Rattus norvegicus: one gene and its partners. The protein of the gene in region 1 purifies or fractionates together with the protein of each later gene. This does not show direct contact. Links are inferred from orthologs where the notes say so. Each region holds a gene or a part of one and is shown on either strand. Other genes may lie near its edges. The genes, in order: Hsp90b1, Canx, Os9 and Calr.

Region 1 (4,687 bases):
CCTTTGCACCATGGCAACCAGAGACACTCCAGATGGCTGCTCAGCCAGCCTGTGGAATGATTTAAGCTGAGGTCTTGGCTACCTTTTCCTAAAGGACTAGGTAGTATCTATTTTTGGCTTTAGGAGCCATAAGGTCCCGTCAGTGATTACTGCCATTGTAGACAAAAGAATTTGTACTATAAAACTAGGTATGACTTCCAATAAACCTAATAAAAAACAGGCCAAGTCAGTTTGACTCACAGGTAGCCTGTGGACTTCCATCCAAACCCACGGTGAGCAGAAGCTCCTTTCACACCAGAATAACCTACTGATGCGGTGCCTGGTTTCTGAGTATCAGTTTTTAAAAGGAAACAGTTTTTTAAGTCACCTTAATCTTGACCGTCAACTCCTCATTTCCAGCAAGTGCATTTTCATCAGTTAGTGAGATGAGCCTTATCTTGTCTAAAGCATCAGAAGCATTTGAAATCAGTTCTCTCAGGAAAATCTAAAAGGAAGAAGCCAGATTTAATGAAGTGGGACTAACCTCCAGGCACAGTAAGGTGTTGGTTCTTATGGCCAACTCCTCTCCTTTCTCCTCAGAAGCATGAAAAGGCACTCTTTAAGAACCAAGCCTTTTCTAGTGCCAGGGATGGCTTTACTCTCTTCATAAAAAAGGAGGCGTGACTCTATAAAGCTCTGTGGCAAGTACAAGGGATATCTGAAGCGGTGGGAACAGGACTACCTCTCCCACCCCCTCAGTGGTACAGCTGTGTGACTCCACCTCAGCCAGCACGTCATAACCTTATTCTGAGCTGAAAGGAAAGCTGGGGACATTGTCTACTCCCTTCCCACCCCAATATGTACCAGTAGCAATTCTCATTCATAATCTACCACAAAAGGAGCAGAGCTGCTGTCCTAACCGTGTGATGCTTACCTCTTTATTTTTATACAAAGAATTGATGATAAGTTTCATCATCCTGTTAACTTCAGCTTGGAAGGCGAACTTTTCCGATTTTTCTCTAAGTTCCCTTATTTGTGATGCATTTAAACCATCCAACTGAATAGCTTCTTCCTCTCTAAGGAAATCAAAATAGATAAGCAAATACTTAGTTTCATTTTTCTAAGTCTCTACTCAGGATACACCTTTGTAAAAGACCACTAACATACCAGCTCACTCTTACACAGAAATGGGTGCTATACTTAATGCTGGGCTGCAAAGATTTACAAAAATTCCCAGAAATACACACCCAGCTCCCATCTACTGAAAAGCAAGTCATGATTCGTGTATGCCTATGCAGTGAACACTTTGATCAAAATTTAAAACACACCTCACCCAGTGAAAAGCCCCTTTCTTAAAAAAAGTTACAGGCATAAGTTCTATTTTTCATAGTACTAACTTCACGAAAATAAAAACCAATCTGAAGTCTTCTGTCAGGTCTTAGAGGCCTACAACTTCGTCATCGGTTTTCTGATTTTGGATGCCGAGGCTTATTCCTAGCACCTCCTTCAACTTTCCTTCTTCTTTTTTTTTTTCTTCCCCCCGGAGCTGGGGACCAAACCCAGGGCCTTGCAAGCGCTCTACCACTGAGCTAAATCCCCAACCCCACAACTTTCCTTCTTGAATCAGTAGTCACTCCTAGGAGCAGACTGACCTAGGAGAGTTCTGCATGCAGATAAATGGGCCCTCCTAAGAACTCCCTGGTTATTTTGTATCATTAGCAACATTTCACACACTGCACATTGTAATCTCAATGTCTGGAGAACAAAAACAGCCAATGTGTCCCACTAACTTGCAGAGTTTATCAGCATAGTTTCAAATGCACTGACCTCTGCACAACTTCATCGTCTGTCCGTGAGCCTTCTCTACTTTTACCCAGGTCCTCTTCTACCGTGCCATCCACATCGACTTCATCGTCAGCTCTCACAAACCCTGAGGAGAAAGGTTAAAACTCTCAATACTACTGCTTCCTCTCCTTCCCATATACAGACAGACCAAGCAGGGCAAGAGGGAGGGTTAACACAATTCAGCGACGTGATGGAAAAATGATGTATTGACGTTAGTAACCAATGTCAAGGCATGTTTGCGCGCTGAAGTTTAAATGTGAATGCTCAAGACTCCCCCGTTGACTCTGGAAGGCCAGGCAGCCATCACTCATGTCTATCGTTCCTTAGACACAAGGCAGTGAGTGATACAGGCTCCCGTCTACACCCACACGTGTTGCGCACAGCCGAGAGCAGGCCTCCACACAGGCCAAGCCAAAACTTGGGCCTCGCTTAACTATCACAGGTCGGAATGCAAACAGGGTTTGTGCAACTTCTGTTGAGGGGAACTGAAATCCGGCCCAAAGGGGAAGACATGTCAAGGACCGCGCTTGAAGCACATCGGAATCGGATACTGGGCCACCGCCACCAAGCTGGCCCGAGGGCCCACGCTCGCGAGTCGGGCGTTAGAAAACAGAAACACGCTCTGGAAGAACCAGAGGGCAGGGGCTAGGGGTCCTCAGGCTCGGGTGGCCAAAGGTCGGACCTGATGACAAAAGTCCTTAGGGAGGGGCCCCAGCAAGGTTTCCCCCGTGAGTAGAGTCCGAGAGGCCGCGCCCCGCCAGCGAGACTTCGGGGAGCGCTCCAGCTCCATCCGCAGAGTATTTAAATACCGCGGCTCCAAGTCTCCTCTTCCCAGAGGCCTCAGGGCAAGGCATCATCACCCGAGTCCCCTTCGAGGAAAGGACATAGTGCCTGGACCCTCTGTAGCCCCCGGCATCCCCCTCCCAGGCTCAACGCCCCAAGAACGTTCGAGAAGCGGCCGCGCAGGAAGGTGGGGGGGCGCCCGATCACTCACCGAAGGTCAGCAGGACGCAGCAGAGGCCCAGCACCCACAGGACCCTCATGGTGCGTGGCCGGAGAGTCGCAAGTCCTTTTCGGTCGCAGGAGCCGCCTCCACCCCCCCAACCCGGAGTCTCAGGTCCTCACACCTCCAGCAGCGCGGTCCGCCCACTAAACCGCGCGCAGGTCGGGCCGCTTTTCACCCCACAGCTTGCGGGCGGGGGACGGGAAACACGAACCCACCAATCGTGCCTCACCACGCACTCTCTGCACCCAATGGGGACGCATGGGGGGGACCGCAACTCGCCAATCGGAACTGTCCAGGTGCGGTGCCCGATGCCCGAAGCGTGGCTCCTTTCGATTGGGTTTGTCCAGCAGCTTTTCTCCAATCAAATGGCTCCGCGGGCCCCTCACACACCGGGCCACCCCTTGGCCTGGGAAGCCTTGGTCTCTGAGGAAAACCGTCCAATGAATGTAGGCGCATAGCACGTCTGTCCTTTCCTAGAGGTCCCGGGGAACCACTTCCGGCTCTTAGAGAACGTTTGTTCCGTGACTAGGGGAAACCGTAGCCAAGACAATGTGGTTTATACCCTTTTCCCGTCTACGACGTGGGTCACGTTACGAGCCCTTTCAGCGCTACGTTCGCCGTCACCTTTCTTTTGGGCGTTTCTTTTCGCAAAAGAGAAATTTGTGAGGGGTTGAATATCCGGAGTGCGTTTGGATGGTGGTGAGAAACTACAGTTTCCGGCATGCAACGCGCTAGTCTCAAGAATGCTGGGAATTGTAGTCTCTGGCGTCTAAGCCAGTTGCGTAGTTTGGCCCTTGCGCTTACTCTGGTCTTGTGTCCGCGGGAAATGTCTCCTGAGTGATTTAGATTTCCACCTAATTCGGATTGCAGAATAGATCTATGCTTGTTCTAGGACTCTAATGCACACAATTTTCAGAGGCGGCTTTGGAAAGTCGCCCCGCGTGGCCCTAGTCTCGCCGTGTCAGAGGGCCAGCTACGGATTCTGGGCTCCGCCTCTGGCTGATGGTAGCACGCCGGTTTCCAGGTCGGCTTTCTAGCGCGTCATTCAGGTTTTCACTTGGCGTTGCGCTGCCCGCAACTCCAGACCTCTCTGGTTTGATTTGCAGTAGAGGGTGGTGGGGGTTCACCAACCCCCAAGGAAACTCCAAGAACCCAAGTTCCTTTGACATCCCCATTAAATATCAAGGAATGACCTGGCAATCTAGAGTCCCTCTTGTGATTCGGCTGGAGAGCACGGTGGTGAAGTCCAGGCTAGCATAGAACAGGAAAGGACATTTGCAGATACTTGAAAGCAAAAGCCGCAGTGCTTGCAAAATAGCCTGGATTGTGGCTTTGTAACTTCATAGAAACACCTTTCCGCCTTCCGACAGACAGCAAGAGAGGCTCTCTGGTGAGGGAAGTCCCTAAGGCCAGCCTGTGCATTCCGAAATGTTCTCTAAGCTCTTTTGTCTCATTTTAACAAAATTTTCACCAGCACGGGTGCCTGCCTCTAACACACCCGTTCTATCACCTCTTTCTCCAAGAAAATTGGAGTTGTTTTCAGGTAATCCAAATTCCCGAAGGCAAGCTTTTCAGTAACAGTGTCCTAGACCCTTGGACAACTTTGAGAATTTAGACTTGCAGATCTTGAATCTGTGGTTTGGTGTTTACATAATGTGGCGATGGCTTATTTACATCTGTCTCATTTACCTACATTTGCCAAAGCACAGAGAAATGTAAGACAAAGGCTTAATGCCTCTGTGTTGTGTTGTGTTGTGTTGTGTTGTGTTTAGGGCATATCAGCATCTTATTTCTTTGTGCTTTTGGAAAAGGATGCCCGTTTCTGCGTTTGACAGCCCAACACCACCCTCTTTCTTT
Region 2 (4,969 bases), on another chromosome or scaffold:
GAAAGGGTCAGAAAACTGAGGTTCCCAGTCTGTTAGTGGACTGTACAGTTTGGGGCCATCATGTTCTCATTTTTATTAGAATTTCACATTTATTATTGTGTGTATGTGAATTTGTGTAGAGATCAGAGTACATCTCAATTCTCTTCTTCTACCATGTTGAGTTCTGGGAATCAAATTCAGGTCGTCAGGCTTGGTGGCAAGTGTCCTTACCTGCTGAGTCGTCCCCATGGCCCTCAAAACGTTTTTTGTATATAGATCTCCCAAACACCCGAGAGCCGCTTTCTTGCTTTTCTGTAGAGTTTTCTCATCTTAAGAACTTCTTTCCAACTCCACCTACAGAAAATTTGCATATCTATGAGGTTCAGGCCAAGTCTCACCTCTTTCTCTTTCTTAGAAAAGTTCTGCCTCAACTCCTCTACTCCTTCAGTACTGACATATTTTAACACCTCTCTGCAGGATTTTTTTTTTGTTCTCTTAAATTCAATGCCATCTTGGGTAACACAAGCCAGAACACCCATCCTAAACAAATTTAAATACACACACACACACACACACACACACACACACACACACACACACACACGCGCGCGCGCGCGCGCGCGCGCGTGTGTGTGTGTGTGTGTAAATTATGTGTACTTACGCGCGCGCGCGCGTGTGTGTGTGTGTGTGTGTGTGTGTGTATAAATTATGTGTACTTATGTAATGTCCGCTGTCATTGGATTCGAGGCAGCATAAAATCCCCTGGAACTGGAATTACAGGCAGTTGTGAGTGATGGGAACTGAACCTGAGTTCTCTGGAAGAGCAAGTGCTCTTGATCACTGAGCTCTCTCTATCCAGATCCTTAAGGGGATTCTTCTGCCTTAGCCTCCTAAATACCTAAGAACTGGGACTAAAGCATGTGCCAACCTGGCTTCATTTTTTTTAAACATGCTCTTTATAAGGCAAATAAGGAAAGGGATTTTCTTCTTTAAAATTAGGGAGAATTGGCGGTTACTAAATTGACCTAAACATCAAATCCTTAACTGCCTTTCTCTTGGGGTAGCAGGAACAAAGCTGGTTTCATATGTAGTTACATAGATGATAAAAATCTGTTTCTTTCTCCAGTAGTCAAAGCTTTGGGTCACCAAACACAACCAGGAGCGATCAGGATTTTCAAAGACATAGCCAAATCCATAGCCACTTCAATCTTACAGCGTTTTCACCATATTGAAAAAGGAGTGGGTTACGAAATGGCTATTTTAAATCTGCACATGGCATCACCCTGTCGCTAGAGTATGTCTGATTTTAACGCCTGAAACAGCACGGGAACATGGGAAGGTGAGTTCATGTTGCATGATTGTGACTCTAGATAGTGTTTTGTTAGGTAAAAAGGTCCCAGGTTCAGGGCGATGACTCCGCAAGACAGTGTCTGCTGCCCAGAGGGATCTCATTCGCTGCATAAGCACACTGGCCTGACCTCTCACCATTTCTGATGAAGGGCATAGGTCCCAGACAGGATTGGAACAGGGTTTCTAACTCAATGGGTGGGAAAAGGTGTCTTTTGGATGGCCACCAACACACCGGCCCTGAGGAACCAGGTCGACCCACGCGAGGACGCACGCCAAATCCGCCCGCCCTCCGGCCCGCGCACCCGCCCGTTTGGTGACGGCCGCCTTCTTTCCTCATACCCAATCAGCAACCACTTCCTGCCTCACTCTTGTCCAATCATCACGCTCCACGAAGAATAGCCCTAGGGGGCGTATGGGAAAGAGCTTTGAGCGATGGCCGTATCTACCAATAGATTCTCAGATCTTGCGCAAAGGGACGGGAGTTGACGTTTGTTGTAGCCACTCAGGAACGAGGGGCGGACGCGGGGTTGGGCTTCGTGCGGTGGGGCTCGCTCGCGCGGCGGCGGTAGCCGAGGCCTCTTAGTTCTGCGGCACGTGACGGTCGGGCCGCCTCTGCCGCTGTCTCCACTGCAGCACGGGGCCCGGTGTGCGGGTGGGAGAAGGTGAGGGAGCCGCCAGTGGTCCCCGGGAGGCTCGAGGTGAGACGGGAAGCGTGTGCGGGGACCTCAGGCCTGGGACGAGTCTGGGTGAGCGGCGGCGCGGCGGAGGGGGTCGGGCGTGGCAGGAATCTCGACGGCTGAGGGTCCGGCGGGCATTCGAGTGGCGCAGGCCCGGGCGGACGCTCAGAGCAATGAGGAGAGCGGCAGGGTTAGAGAGACTGGTCTGGGCAGCGCCGCCGGGGTCGGGAGGCGTGGCAGGTGTCCTGGGGTTTCCCTTGACCTCTGAGAAAGCTAACTACTTCCTATGGCTTTGGTTCTAGAGTTTTCTTAGGCCCTGTCCTGGCCCACCCAGAGGTGGACTGAGTAATCCGGTATAGGTGTAGTATTAGAATTAGGCCTAGTAGGTAGCCCAAATAGTAGGGAAAGGTGAAGTAAATCCATAGAGATAAGCGTTACAGTTTCAATATTAGAAAATAATATGTCCAAAGCGAAGTCTGGACCATAGCACCCCGATGAGGGAGTAGAATGTACTAGAACGTGTACCGCTTGAGAAACTTAAGGCTTAACTATTAAAGCACCTGCCTATTCGGTGATGATAGATAGTGATCCAGTGAGGGTATTCACTGGACCTTAAAAGCAGGAAATACAAGCGAAAGTTCAGTTAGTGAGTGTAGGAAACTGAGGCCTAGAAGTTTGAAATGACTGGCCCAAGGTCATACAGGTAGTTCTAATCCAGTTCGGATTGTAACTGAGGACTAGACAGTTTGGGTTTCTTAGTTAAGGTTAAAAGTCCTGGTGCAAGCTCCTAACTGCAGTTTATCGGGGGAAGTGGGATTTGGGAGATTTTCTACTTTATGGCTCAGTCCCCTAGGAGTAGACAGAATGGCTGGTCTTGTATTAAAAGGTAATGGGAATGAGAAATTGGATGTATAGTAAAGGTTCAAGGAGTAGTAATTGCACTGGCTTCTTGTAGTCGGAGTGAATGCTTTGGTCATTACACTGATATACTAATTTTTATGTTAAGTCCTGAGGGCACATTAATGACACCTTGTATATTAACTGCTGGTCATGACATTAGTGATTGCTGGTTGTGTGAAGTTAAACCGAACTGAATATTAAATGCTTGACAGAGATGAGCTACGGTTTCTTTACCCTGAGGAAATGGAAGATTCTGCCTGTTTTTTAAATAATCCTCCCCCTTTTTAAAGGGAGAAATAATTGGGTTATCTGAAAAATCTTAGTATATTTTCTAGTACCATTTGAAAGGACACGAACGGAATCGATTCTCATTTTGTACTTGAGCTGTAATTAAGCTTACAGGCCAGGCAGGGTACACAAGTGAGCCAGGCCCTGAAGAACTGTTTATAGAAGTGAACTATCCACAATAGGAGTTTACTGAGCTGTCTGAAAAATGGGTGTCTCCGCCTTGCTATCTTAACAGTGCAATTAGCTCTGTAATCTTTCAAGGGCCACAAGGCACGTGCATCTTGACAACACACCTTGCATCCATGTCCTGGAGAGGTCACTTGCCCTGCCAGAGAACTTGAAGGGAGTAGAGTGGCAGTTGGTAAGCATAACTGCAGAATACAGTGTCCAGCATAGTAGCTTTGCTTCCTGTCCTTTATAAATGGGAATGAGTCTCCTACTTGCTTTACCTTTGAGGGGGCAGCTACTAAGAAACTGCTTTGGAAAGTATAAGGAAATGGGCAAATAGAATTGGCAGCTCATAAAAAGTCCTAAGAAGTAAAGTGCCAACCAAAGATAGTTGTAGTCTGTATAACTTACTGTAAAACTCATTAGGAACATGCTTATTAAATGCTTTGTTATTGCTACAAGTGCTAGGTAAGAATTTTTAGGCTTATTTATCTAATTTTTGGTGTATGCGTGTTTTGCCTGCATGTATGTATGTGTACCAATGTGTGTGAACCATCATGTTGGTGCTGGGGATCAAACCTGGGTCCTCTGGAAGAGCAGCCAGTGCTTTTAACCAGAGCTATGTCTTCAGCTCTGAAAAATTTCCTTTTTTAAAGAATCTAGAAAATTTTCATATTGTGGTATTAATGTCTTTTTAAAAATCTCGTTAAGATTTATTTAGGTCGGGAGAGATGCTCAGCAGTTGGGAGCACTGGCTGCTCTTCCAGAGGTCCTGAGTTCAATTCCCAGCAACCACATGGTGGCTCACAGTCATCTCTAATGGGATCCAATGCTCTCTTCTGGTGTGTCTGAGGACAGTATACTTATGTGCATGAAATCACATCTTCCCTCTGGCCTTTTTTTAATTTTTTATTTTTTTATCCTTTTTTTTTCTAAAGATTTATTTATGTATGCCTGCAGGTCACAAGAGGCACCAGATCTCATTACAGATGGTTGTGAGCCACCATGTGGTTGCTGGGAATTGAACTCGGCCTCTGGAAGAGCAGTCAGTGCTCTTAACCACTGAGCCATCCCTTCAGACCCCTCTCTGGCCTTTTTTAAAAAGTTGTATATATATATTTTTTAATCTTATAAAAGATATATTTAAAAACATTTTTATGTGTATATAGGTATAATTATATACAATATATTCATGGGTGCCCGTGGAGGCCAGAAAAGGGCATTATATTCCCTGGTGTTGGAATTACAGACTGTCATAAGCTGCCCATCTGGGAACTGAACCACCTCTCCATCCTGGGTATTCACATCTTAAAGTGAATTAATATGAAAAAAGTTAATTAAAAAAATTTAGTAGATGGATGGTGTGGTAGTGGCTCACCTTTGATCTCTGCATGAGGATAGATTTCTCTCTGAGTTCAAGACCAGCCTAGTCTACAGAGTGAGTTCCAGGACATCCAAGACTGTACAGAGAAACCCTGTCTCAAGAAACAGATTATTTCTATGTTTCTGTTAATGAAAAGAGATCCAAGAAGGTGGGTATAACGCTTGCTTAGCAAGTTTGAGACCAAGGGCTTTACTCCCAGCACATGAAAGCAAAAACCCGAAAT
Region 3 (5,029 bases), about 42 Mb from region 1:
GAACTCAGGCTTTCACCGAAACACTTTCCCATCTGCACCTGTCCCTCCCTCCCCAGGCATCTCTCTAGTCTCCAATTTGCTTTTTCCTTTCTGGCTTGCTTGGTTTGGTTCTTTTCTTGTATATTAAGAATTTCCCTTAGACAGATGACTATGCTTGGCTTTCTGAGTATTTAAGTGTGAGGTCTTGTAGAGATCTGATTGGAAAGTCTGTGTGCAGGTTTCAGCACTCAGCCCAAAGGGTTTAGGCGGGATGTGTGCCTGTTTCATTAACAGAACCCTAGTGAGAGTACCTTTTGGATTTTCCCCCTGGCATGGTGAACTTCCCCGCAGAAATTTCCAGTGGTATAGTATACCTCTCGCTTGCCTTCATTTAGGTGTTGGTATTCTCAGGGTTATTAATCCAGTTACCTTTCTGTTTGTTTCTGGCTTCATTTTCTTCTTGTTTTCACAGGTTTTCCTCTTACGTTCTAGACAGAACAGACACTTTTCCCACATCTCCAACCCCTGGCTCAACTTTAACCAGAAGCCCCTTTATTTTATTTCCTCCTTCTCTTCTCCCCTGCCTTCCTTACCCCTGCCTGTTTTCTTCTTCTTCTTCTTCTTTTCCTCCTTCCTCCTCCTCCCCCTCCTCCTCCCCTTCTTCTCCCCCTTCCTCCTCCTCCTCTTTCCTTCATTGCCTCCTCAAGACTTTGCTGTTCATAAGCTGGGCTGGGCTCCAACCGTCTATTCTTTTTGCCTCAGCCTGTAATTATAGGCATCCACCTCCACTCTTGGCTCCATTGTCATTTCTTCTTGTTTTGAGACAGAGTCTTGTGTATTTCAGGCTTAGATCCGACTCTGTGTAGCCAAGGACTGCTTGGATTCCAGGTGTACACCAGGATGTTTGGTTCACACTGTGCGGCAGATTGAACACAGGGCTTTGCACACGCTAAACCAGTGTCTGTGTGTATTTGAAAGAGTGTGACTCATCTCGAAGGACGCTCTGGAACTCACTATATGGAGGAGGATGACCTTGAATTATTGATCCTCCTGCCTCTGTGTCACAAGTGCCTGGATTACAAGCATGCACTACCACACTCTCCTTCTTAAGATAATTTTATTGGGGGGTTGGGGATTTAGCTTAGTGGTAGAGTGTTTGCCTAGCAAGCGCAAGGCCCTGGGTTCGGTCCCCAGCTCCAAAAAAAAAAGAAAAGAAAAAAAAGATAATTTTATTGGAGGACAAACTCAGGTTTTGACACAGACTATTTGGCTGCTGGTAATATATTAGCACATATGTGTGTATATGTATATATAAATATGTACATATACGTATATTTGTGTATACATATATGTACATAATTGTATATATAACACATAAATATATGTGCGGATACATATATGTTTATATGAAGAGTCATGCTTCTGTATAGTATGTTTTGCGAAAGATATTAAGTTTCAAAGATATCCCCCACACTCACCATCCGTCTCAATATTCTGCCCAATGGAGGCTCCATACATCGCAAGAGATATACGAAAAAGTAATAAGAAGCTCTATTCCTGACAGCTGGGCGAAGGCAGGGACCAGACAAGAAGCAAAAGAACACAGCCAGTCCACACCTCTCAGGAATAAGGAGCGAGGAGGGGAGGGGCCTAATCTCGTAGCTGATTGGTTGTTGTTCCTGACCAATCAGAAGCAGCTATTGATTTTTACTACCAGTGCGACCCGCCTCCCTGGAGGCTTTGACGCCACGTTTACAAATGAGGATGAGTTACGTAAGAGAGAGCGCCCGGGCAGCCAATGAGAGCTTGAGGCGCTAATAGACGGGTGAGGCCGCTGCCAGGTTTGGGGCGGAAGGAACATCTCTAGCAGAGACGAAGCGGAAGATGGCGGCGGAGGCGCTGCTGTCCAGTCTGTTGGGATTGCTATTTCTGGGGCTCCTGTTACCTGCGCATCTGACGGGCGGTGTCGGGAGCCTGAATTTGGAGGAGCTGAGTGAGATGCGTTATGGCATCCAGATCCTGCCGTTGCCTGTCATGGGAGGGCAGGTGAGGGATGTAGGGCGAGGCGAGGGTCCTGTGCAAGAGGTAGGGGCGCAAGGTGGAGGAGGAAAGGCAGCTGCGCGTCCGGCGCGGGAGACCGGGGGAATGAAGAAGACATGGTGGTGTTTCTACGATCCTGCTGGGAATGGCAGGCAGATCTATCCCCGGGGACCAGGCACCGGCAGGGGTGGGGCTCTCCGCTGTGGACCTCGGGTCCCCAGGTCGCGTTGAAAGGAGCCGGACCCCGCCAGGTGGGGAAGCGAGAGCGCCCTCTCCTCCGCTCAGCCGGGGCTGCTGGAGGACTTGTGGCTTATTCTCTCTTCCACTGGGCACGTCCCCAGGGTCTGAAGAGGGATCTCGTTGTTCTTGGTCCCAGCGTCTGCCTCCCTGCCCCCCTTCCCGACCCTTCTTTCCCAGAGCCAAGCTTCAGACGTGGTGGTTGTGTCTTCAAAGTACAAACAGCGCTATGAGTGCCGCCTACCAGCTGGAGCTATTCACTTCCAGCGTGAAAGGGAGGAGGAGACACCTGCTTACCAGGGGCCCGGGATTCCTGAATTGTTGAGCCCAATGAGAGATGCCCCTTGTCTGCTGAAGGTGAAAGGAACTGGGGTGGGCGGAGTGAAGTCTTGGGAACTGGAATGGGGGGCGGTGGGAGTTAAGGGGCCATTGGTGTACTAGACATTGTTTTCAGACGGAGGAGGGGGAAACAAAGCAAAGACTCTGCTGAGTGTAGGGAAGGGTTACGTTAGAAGATCTCAAAATTGGTTAAACCAAGATGAGAAGAACAGTGATGGGATGGGAAGAGCAGGAGCTTACCCATAAAGTCACCCTCTGCTCCTATTGCTCTTTACCCCGGGATGCCATTGTATTCAAAGAAGTTCACTTAATACTTGAACCTGTGGGAGGGTCCTTCTGAGTGCTTCAAGGATACCATGATTTCTTATCTTTATGGAGGGCAGGGAATGACTTATGCCTGTGATCCTAGGTTGGATCACAGTGCACTGTGGCCCTGTCTTACCCCTTTCCTGACAGACAGACAGACAGACAGACAGACAGACAGGGTGTGGGTGGGAATCAGTTATACTTTAGATGTGCGTCTCTGGCCATGAAAAGAAAACAGCTGTCCCTTCTCTTAGAATCAAGAATGCATGAGGGGAGAGAGAGCAGGAGGTGAGAACTCAGTGACAGGTTATATATCTTGGATCCAGGAGACTGGTTTCACAAGGAGCCGTTTTCGTGCCTCCTGATTGTTCTCTTTCCATTGTCAGACCAAGGACTGGTGGACATATGAATTCTGTTATGGACGCCATATCCAGCAGTACCATATGGAAGGTGAGTAACTCCTACATTCTCCCTAAGCCTTCATGATGCCGTGTGGATGGCGACCCTCCCTCTCAGTCCTCCCTCCTAGGCCTCATAATAGAATAATGTGCTTTACTGTGGCTTCTTTTACAGACTCGGAGATCAAAGGTGACGTCCTCTACCTTGGCTACTACCAGTCAGCCTTCAACTGGGACGATGAAACAGCCAAGGTGACTGGCTGGGGATTGGGGTTGGAATGGGGACTGGCTGAGCTTCAGACAGACAACCCAGGCGACAGGAGGGTCAGACTGAACTGCTATGTTTCTTGGGGTTTGGTACCCATCAAGTCCCCTGGATCAGGTCTTTTGATCCCCGGGTCCCTGTGGGAGAGACCCTTCCTCATGCCCTCATCCTACCTCATGTTTTCTCCAGGCCTCCAAGCAGCATCGGCTGAAACGCTACCACAGCCAGACCTACGGCAATGGGTCCAAATGCGATCTCAATGGGAAGCCCAGAGAAGCTGAAGTTCGGGTAAGTCTTCGAAGAAAACCTTCCCTGAATAACAATAGTCCATCTGTTACTATGGGAGAAGGATGCTTGTGCCCTGAAGTGAACAGTATCTCTTAGGTGTAGAGCCCAGTCTGGGGCTGATGTCTAGCTGCCGGAGTGATATCATTGCATTTGTGGAGGTAATTTAACTCTGCGTTTCCCATAGGCTACCCTCAGTACTTCCAGGCACATTTAAGCCTTTCCAACATTTCTCCTTTCCGTTACCTAAGCTGTAAACGTTAGCGTCTGTCTGTCTTTGACTCTTCTTGCTCTGGGTGTAACATGGAGACATCGGCCTTAACTCTTCCAGCAAAGTGGGAAGCAAACAGGAAGTTCCTGCATGTGAGGAGGGCCTGATATACAAGGGATGCTAACCCAAGAAGTGAGTCTGAAAGAAGCCACAAGTCAGTGGTTCTCAACCTGTGGTCCGAGACCCCACAAGGACCACACATCAGATGCCCTGGATGTCAGATATTTACATTATGACTCATAACAGCAGCAAGATTTCAACTAGAAGAAAATTATCCCATGGCTGAGGGGTGGCCACCACAGCAGGAGGAACTGTGCTAAAGGGTCACAGCGTAGAACCACATCGTAGAACCAAGGATGAGAAGGAGGGAGATAAGGCTAGCTCGCTCAAAGCCCAGCTATCCTCTTAATGGCCTTTTAAAACTGGCTTCAGGGCTGACAGCGTCAGCGCACGCCTTCGATTCCCAGCACTCTGGAGACAGAGGCAGGTGGATCTCTGTGAATGCAAAGGCAGCCTGGTCTACCTAGTGGGTTCCAGGACAGCCTCAAAAACCAAAAGCCTCTCACCAGTTGGGCATGGCAGTATACACCTGTAATCTCAGTAAGTTGGGAGGCGGAGGTGGGAGCATCGTGAGCCTAAGGCTATTGTGAACTATGGGAAAAGGAACAAGAGACAACCCGTTTGTCCCGTGGCTGGGACTCTGAATTCTCACCAGCATCTCGGTCAGTAGCCTCCTAGCGAATGGTCCTCTTTATTCTCCTGGGTCACAGCTGAGCGGAGGCAGGTGGGGCACACAAGCAGGTGCATACAGAAATCTTCTGCGTCTGCACAACCGTAGACACCTTTAGAGAACTACCTACAACACCAGCAGCTGTGGCACCCACCAGCACTAGCTGTATGCAAAACCAG
Region 4 (4,941 bases), on another chromosome or scaffold:
CTGACACCGAGTCTCTTGTTCTTTTTTTCCTTCTGGGTTACAAGCTAGCAGGTCAAGAGCTCCTGGGTGACTCCCATGTTCCTGCCTGCGATCCTGCTGAAGTTGACAGCTGTGCTTTGCCACATTTGGTTTCTTTTTTAGTTTTTAAATTTCATTTTATTCGTATAGGTGTTTCGCCTGCACGTATTTCTCTCTACCATTTGATGTCTGGTGCCCACAGAAGAGGGTTTCAGACCCTTTGAAACTGGAGTTACAGGTCATTTTGATGCTTCACGAGGGGGCTGGGAATAGAACTGGGGTAGTTCGAAAGAGCAGCCAAAACAAATCTCTCCAGTCCATTATTTCATTGTGCTGAAGCAGGGTCTCATGTAGCCCAGGCTGGCCTCAAACTCACTACATCATAGCTGAGAATTACATTGAACTTTTGATCCCTGCTTCATTCAACTTCTTAAGTACTAGGACAAAGCAGAAGGCATATGTGTCAGTCACAGGACTGGAGACAGGGCCAGTCACAGGTCTGTTGGACTTGGGTGTCCTCCAGAGGGACCTACACCAGCAATGCTTAGTTCTGGACACTGCCTGGGGAACAGAGTGGACCCCCAACTTCTTGACCTTAAGTGTCATTACTGCTTGAGTTCCTCTCACTGAGAAGGAAGCACTCCATTTTTGTAAGGATTCCTTCTGTGCAGTTCCTTGTCTGTTCCAGTGTTCCCAATTCCTCAGTTTGGAAACACCTCCCATCCCCCAACCCCTACAGGTACTGTCCTTCCTCCTCCTAGCAGCAAGCAGGGTGCTGGCCACAGTCACATGATTTGAGTCAGAGGCCTCCAGATCCAAGGGTCCTGCTTATCTCCTTAGAACTCTATCACCACAGCCATCTGTGTCCTTTTTCCTTCTCAAACGGCACCCCTTGCTGTCTGCTCATAGCCGTTTAATTGCAAAAGCCAAGTCGTTTGTGGGAGACCACAAGAAGTGACTCTTTCCATTTTCCAGCGTAAGAGTAAAAAATGATAGAGGTAGGGTTACTACCTCTCACCCAAGGACACACACTTACATTCACACCGATGAGACCACTATGTTTCCTGCTCTCAAACCGTGGATAGCCCTGAAAGGTTTAAGAGCATTTCTGTCAGATAGCTCAGGGTCACCCCTGTTGGCTTCTGAGATTTCAGGGAGGCGAAGTGACTTGTATCATGTCACACAGTAGTCTGACAGGCTGTCAGGGAACTACGGGACAAGAGGAGAAAGCTGGTACATTCTCTACTGGCCTGAACAACTGGGAACCAGAATGCAGCGAAACCCCAGGATCCTGGCCCTTGACCTTATCCTGAATAGGAAAAGCTTGCCATCGGTGGGCGTTCCCTAAGTGCAGTATAGATGGAACATCAAAGTTGCAAAGAATCCTTGCTTCTTCCCTCTGACCAGAAAGGATGGAAAAAGGCCGAGACGAGACGGAGGCCCAGTCTCGGTCCCGCACGGTTAACACCCGGTACTGCTCGCGCGGATTCTTTAAACGACTTCATGGCGAGCAAGGGACTCTCACCAGCAAGGGCGGGGTTGGGCTGAGGCTCAGTCACGTGACCGCGCCTGAGTGGGCTCGCGGCCCCCACCCCAACAGGGGGCGTCCCCTACAACGCGTGGTCGACCCTGATTGGCCCAGGGTGCGGCCAATAGAAATCAGCCATCTGGGATCCCAGCGTTCCGAGCCACAGCCTAACTTGCTGAGGCGACTAGGACGCAATGAGAAGGGACAGCTGTAGGTCTAAACCAGTCAGAAGGACCGAGGGGCGGGCTCAGCGGTCGTGTCAGGTTGGGATGAGAGGTAGGTGGATATAAATTGGAGCAGCGGCGGCCGCGTCCGTCAATACCGCAGAGCCGCTGCTTGAAGATCGTTTTAAAGGGCCAGTGTGCCGCCGCCCCCTCGGCCCGCCATGCTCCTTTCGGTGCCGCTCCTGCTTGGCCTCCTCGGCCTGGCTGCCGCAGACCCTGCCATCTATTTCAAAGAGCAGTTCTTGGACGGAGGTAAGGTCTGGGCCCGCCTCGAGGCCGCCTCAGCGACTGCTGGGCCCCGAGCCCTCGGCTGCCTCGTCGTGTGTAAAGTAATTACCGTTCAGAGGGCCAACACTGTGGCCCCGGGGGGACTAGAGCCGCGGGCGGTTCCATTTGTGCGTCCTTGGGGGACCAGGAAGGCGCAGCGGTTTCCCGCGCCCGGAGTTAAGGTTCGTTCAAGGACCTGAAGCCGATCGAGGTGTCAAGTTCGAGGTTGGGATGGGAATCCCCTTCCCCACCCCCACTTGCTTGTAGCTCCTGACAGACGTTGGTTATGGGGGCGGGGGTCGGACGGTCCCGCTGATCTGACTCCTAAGCCTTTCTCTTTCAGATGCCTGGACCAACCGCTGGGTCGAATCCAAACATAAGTCTGATTTTGGCAAATTCGTCCTCAGTTCTGGCAAATTCTACGGGGACCAGGAGAAGGATAAAGGTACGAGGGAGTGGGTGCTTGGATTCAAGACAACTTCCTGGAGGAAGCTCTTGTCAGTGCACACAGCTTGTTGGAGCTTTTCCCAGGAATGAGGGAGCCAATGACAGGTGGAGGAAGGAAGGGGCGGTCAACTGTGCCCCTCAAGGTCTAGGGTATTTGGGGTCCACCTAACGACAATCCCATTTCATCACAGGGTTGCAGACAAGCCAAGATGCCCGATTTTACGCGCTGTCCGCCAGATTCGAACCCTTCAGCAACAAGGGCCAGACACTGGTGGTACAGTTCACCGTGAAGCATGAGCAGAATATCGACTGTGGGGGCGGCTACGTGAAGCTGTTTCCGGGTGGCTTGGACCAGAAGGACATGCATGGAGACTCAGAATATAACATCATGTTTGGTGAGGGGCCCCCAGCCAATGCTGACCTCTGCCGGTTGGACAGTGGGTGCGAACTGAAACCCTTTATAACTAGAATGCTGATCTTCATATCATGGAAAGCACTTGAATGATTTTTGTCCTGAGGGGACAACTAAAGGGTTTACTTTATTAGTTGGTGGACTCTATTAGTTGTAGATTTATATTGTTCATTTTTATGGTATTTTCTACATGTTTCTTAATTTTAGAAATGATGCTAATGACAGGGTCAAAGAAATCACTGGAAAAAGTGCAAATTTTTTATGTACCTGTGTATGTACTAGTGTGAAGGTCAGAGGGCAACTTTGGAAATCTCTTCTGTCATCTGAGTTCCAGGATCAAATTTGCATTATCAGGCTTAGTGGCAAGCACCTAATTTACCCCTGAGCCCTTTGCTGGCCCAGAATGGTACTCTTTTCAGATTTGTAGTCTTTGATGCCTTTAATAGGTATATTGAAATCAGGTGCCTCTCCATGATTCCTGAACAGCTAGGACTTCGTAGAGATCCTGTCTCAGGGGAAAAAAAAGACAAGATCAGGTCTTTATTTCTAGATAGCCATGGTACATTCCAGCATTCACACTACTGAGGTAGGTGAGTACTTTAAAGGCAGCTTCAGTTAAAGGTAACAGTATCCTCTGTCAAAAACAAAATAGGAGCTGGAGTGGATGCAATGGTTTCAAAGAACTGAAGTTCAGTTCTCAGCACTCAAACAGTAGCTCTCCAACTCCAGTGCCCTCTGCAGGCTCCTGTATATGCATGGTACACACACACACACACGTACGTACATACGTACGTACATACGTACGTACGCATAAATACATAAGGTTAGGTCTTTCTTCCCCAAGGGTAGAGCCTGCCATCAGCCTGCATATGCTTCCTACATAGGTCCGGACATCTGCGGTCCTGGCACCAAGAAGGTTCATGTCATCTTTAACTACAAGGGCAAGAACGTGCTGATCAACAAGGATATCCGGTGTAAGGTGTGTCTGGGGTAGTCATTTAAGTGGCTGTCACGGGAGGTCCAGGCAGCCTGGTGGGAGGGACTGCTCACCTCCTTCCTTCTTCAGGATGATGAATTCACACATCTATACACGCTGATTGTGCGGCCAGACAACACCTACGAGGTGAAAATTGACAACAGCCAGGTGGAGTCGGGCTCCTTGGAGGATGATTGGGACTTTCTGCCGCCCAAGAAGATTAAGGATCCTGACGCTGCCAAGCCAGAAGACTGGGATGAACGAGCCAAGATTGATGACCCCACAGATTCCAAGCCTGAGGTTAGTGTTGGGACAACAGCTCCACCTCCATCCTAGGGGGAGGACCCTGGGTCCCCCTGACCTCCCTGTATATTCCTAGGACTGGGACAAGCCAGAGCACATCCCTGACCCTGATGCTAAGAAGCCTGAGGACTGGGACGAAGAGATGGATGGAGAGTGGGAACCACCAGTGATTCAAAATCCTGAATACAAGGTAGGCTTGGGTGTTGAGGTGCTGCTCACTAGTAGGGTGCTTCCTTTGGTGCTATGATTGATGTCGCACCACAGGAAAAAGACAAGATATGCCTTGGGGTTCTAAGCAGGGTGGTTGGTTGTACTGTGGGATGTGTCCACCTCTGTTCATCTGGTTCTCTTCTACAGGGCGAATGGAAGCCACGTCAAATTGACAACCCAGATTACAAGGGTACCTGGATACACCCAGAGATTGACAATCCTGAATACTCCCCCGATGCGAATATCTATGCCTATGATAGTTTTGCTGTACTGGGCTTAGACCTCTGGCAGGTGAGACATAGGAAAGACAAGGGTTCCTGGCAGACCTCAAGTAGTCAGGATTGTACTGGTTGATCTGGAGGGAAGAACAGGCAGAGGCACCAACCTCAAGGTGTTTAAATTCTGAAATGTCCACTTATTGAGACATTTCCTGTTTTATCTCCTTTTTTTTTACTAACACAAAAGAAAGCTGATTTGTTATTGAAACGTTTTTATGTGTGTCGGTATACATAGAGGAAAAAAATTGTTGGAGAAGTTGGTTCTCTTCACCATGTGA

What was found.
Region 2: the proteins of Hsp90b1 (region 1) and Canx purify together in Homo sapiens (affinity purification with mass spectrometry; 4 studies listed by BioGRID and IntAct, with this or other methods). This does not show direct contact. The link is inferred for Rattus norvegicus from reciprocal best matches to the Homo sapiens genes HSP90B1 and CANX.
Region 3: the proteins of Hsp90b1 (region 1) and Os9 purify together in Homo sapiens (affinity purification with mass spectrometry; 6 studies listed by BioGRID and IntAct, with this or other methods). This does not show direct contact. The link is inferred for Rattus norvegicus from reciprocal best matches to the Homo sapiens genes HSP90B1 and OS9.
Region 4: the proteins of Hsp90b1 (region 1) and Calr fractionate together in Homo sapiens (co-fractionation; 4 studies listed by BioGRID, with this or other methods). This does not show direct contact. The link is inferred for Rattus norvegicus from reciprocal best matches to the Homo sapiens genes HSP90B1 and CALR.

Annotation. Positions count from the first base shown.
Region 1 is NC_086025.1:23,009,303-23,013,989, forward strand, and holds the start of Hsp90b1 (endoplasmin precursor), read right to left. Parts: upstream 2,992-4,687; 5' UTR 2,868-2,991; coding exon 2,819-2,867; intron 1,910-2,818; coding exon 1,807-1,909; intron 1,056-1,806; coding exon 914-1,055; intron 485-913; coding exon 368-484; intron 1-367.
Region 2 is NC_086028.1:35,154,820-35,159,788, reverse strand, and holds the start of Canx (calnexin precursor), read left to right. Parts: upstream 1-1,931; 5' UTR 1,932-2,027; exon of another isoform or gene 2,028-2,075; intron 2,076-4,969. UniProt on the Homo sapiens protein: Calcium-binding protein that interacts with newly synthesized monoglucosylated glycoproteins in the endoplasmic reticulum. It may act in assisting protein assembly and/or in the retention within the ER of unassembled protein subunits.
Region 3 is NC_086025.1:64,825,876-64,830,904, reverse strand, and holds the start of Os9 (protein OS-9 precursor), read left to right. Parts: upstream 1-1,834; 5' UTR 1,835-1,863; coding exon 1,864-2,025; intron 2,026-2,436; coding exon 2,437-2,613; intron 2,614-3,287; coding exon 3,288-3,351; intron 3,352-3,474; coding exon 3,475-3,551; intron 3,552-3,753; coding exon 3,754-3,852; intron 3,853-5,029. UniProt on the Homo sapiens protein: Lectin component of the HRD1 complex, which functions in endoplasmic reticulum (ER) quality control and ER-associated degradation (ERAD).
Region 4 is NC_086037.1:40,211,499-40,216,439, forward strand, and holds the start of Calr (calreticulin precursor), read left to right. Parts: upstream 1-1,868; 5' UTR 1,869-1,931; coding exon 1,932-2,022; intron 2,023-2,380; coding exon 2,381-2,482; intron 2,483-2,675; coding exon 2,676-2,879; intron 2,880-3,780; coding exon 3,781-3,875; intron 3,876-3,962; coding exon 3,963-4,172; intron 4,173-4,251; coding exon 4,252-4,365; intron 4,366-4,532; coding exon 4,533-4,676; intron 4,677-4,941. UniProt on the Homo sapiens protein: Calcium-binding chaperone that promotes folding, oligomeric assembly and quality control in the endoplasmic reticulum (ER) via the calreticulin/calnexin cycle.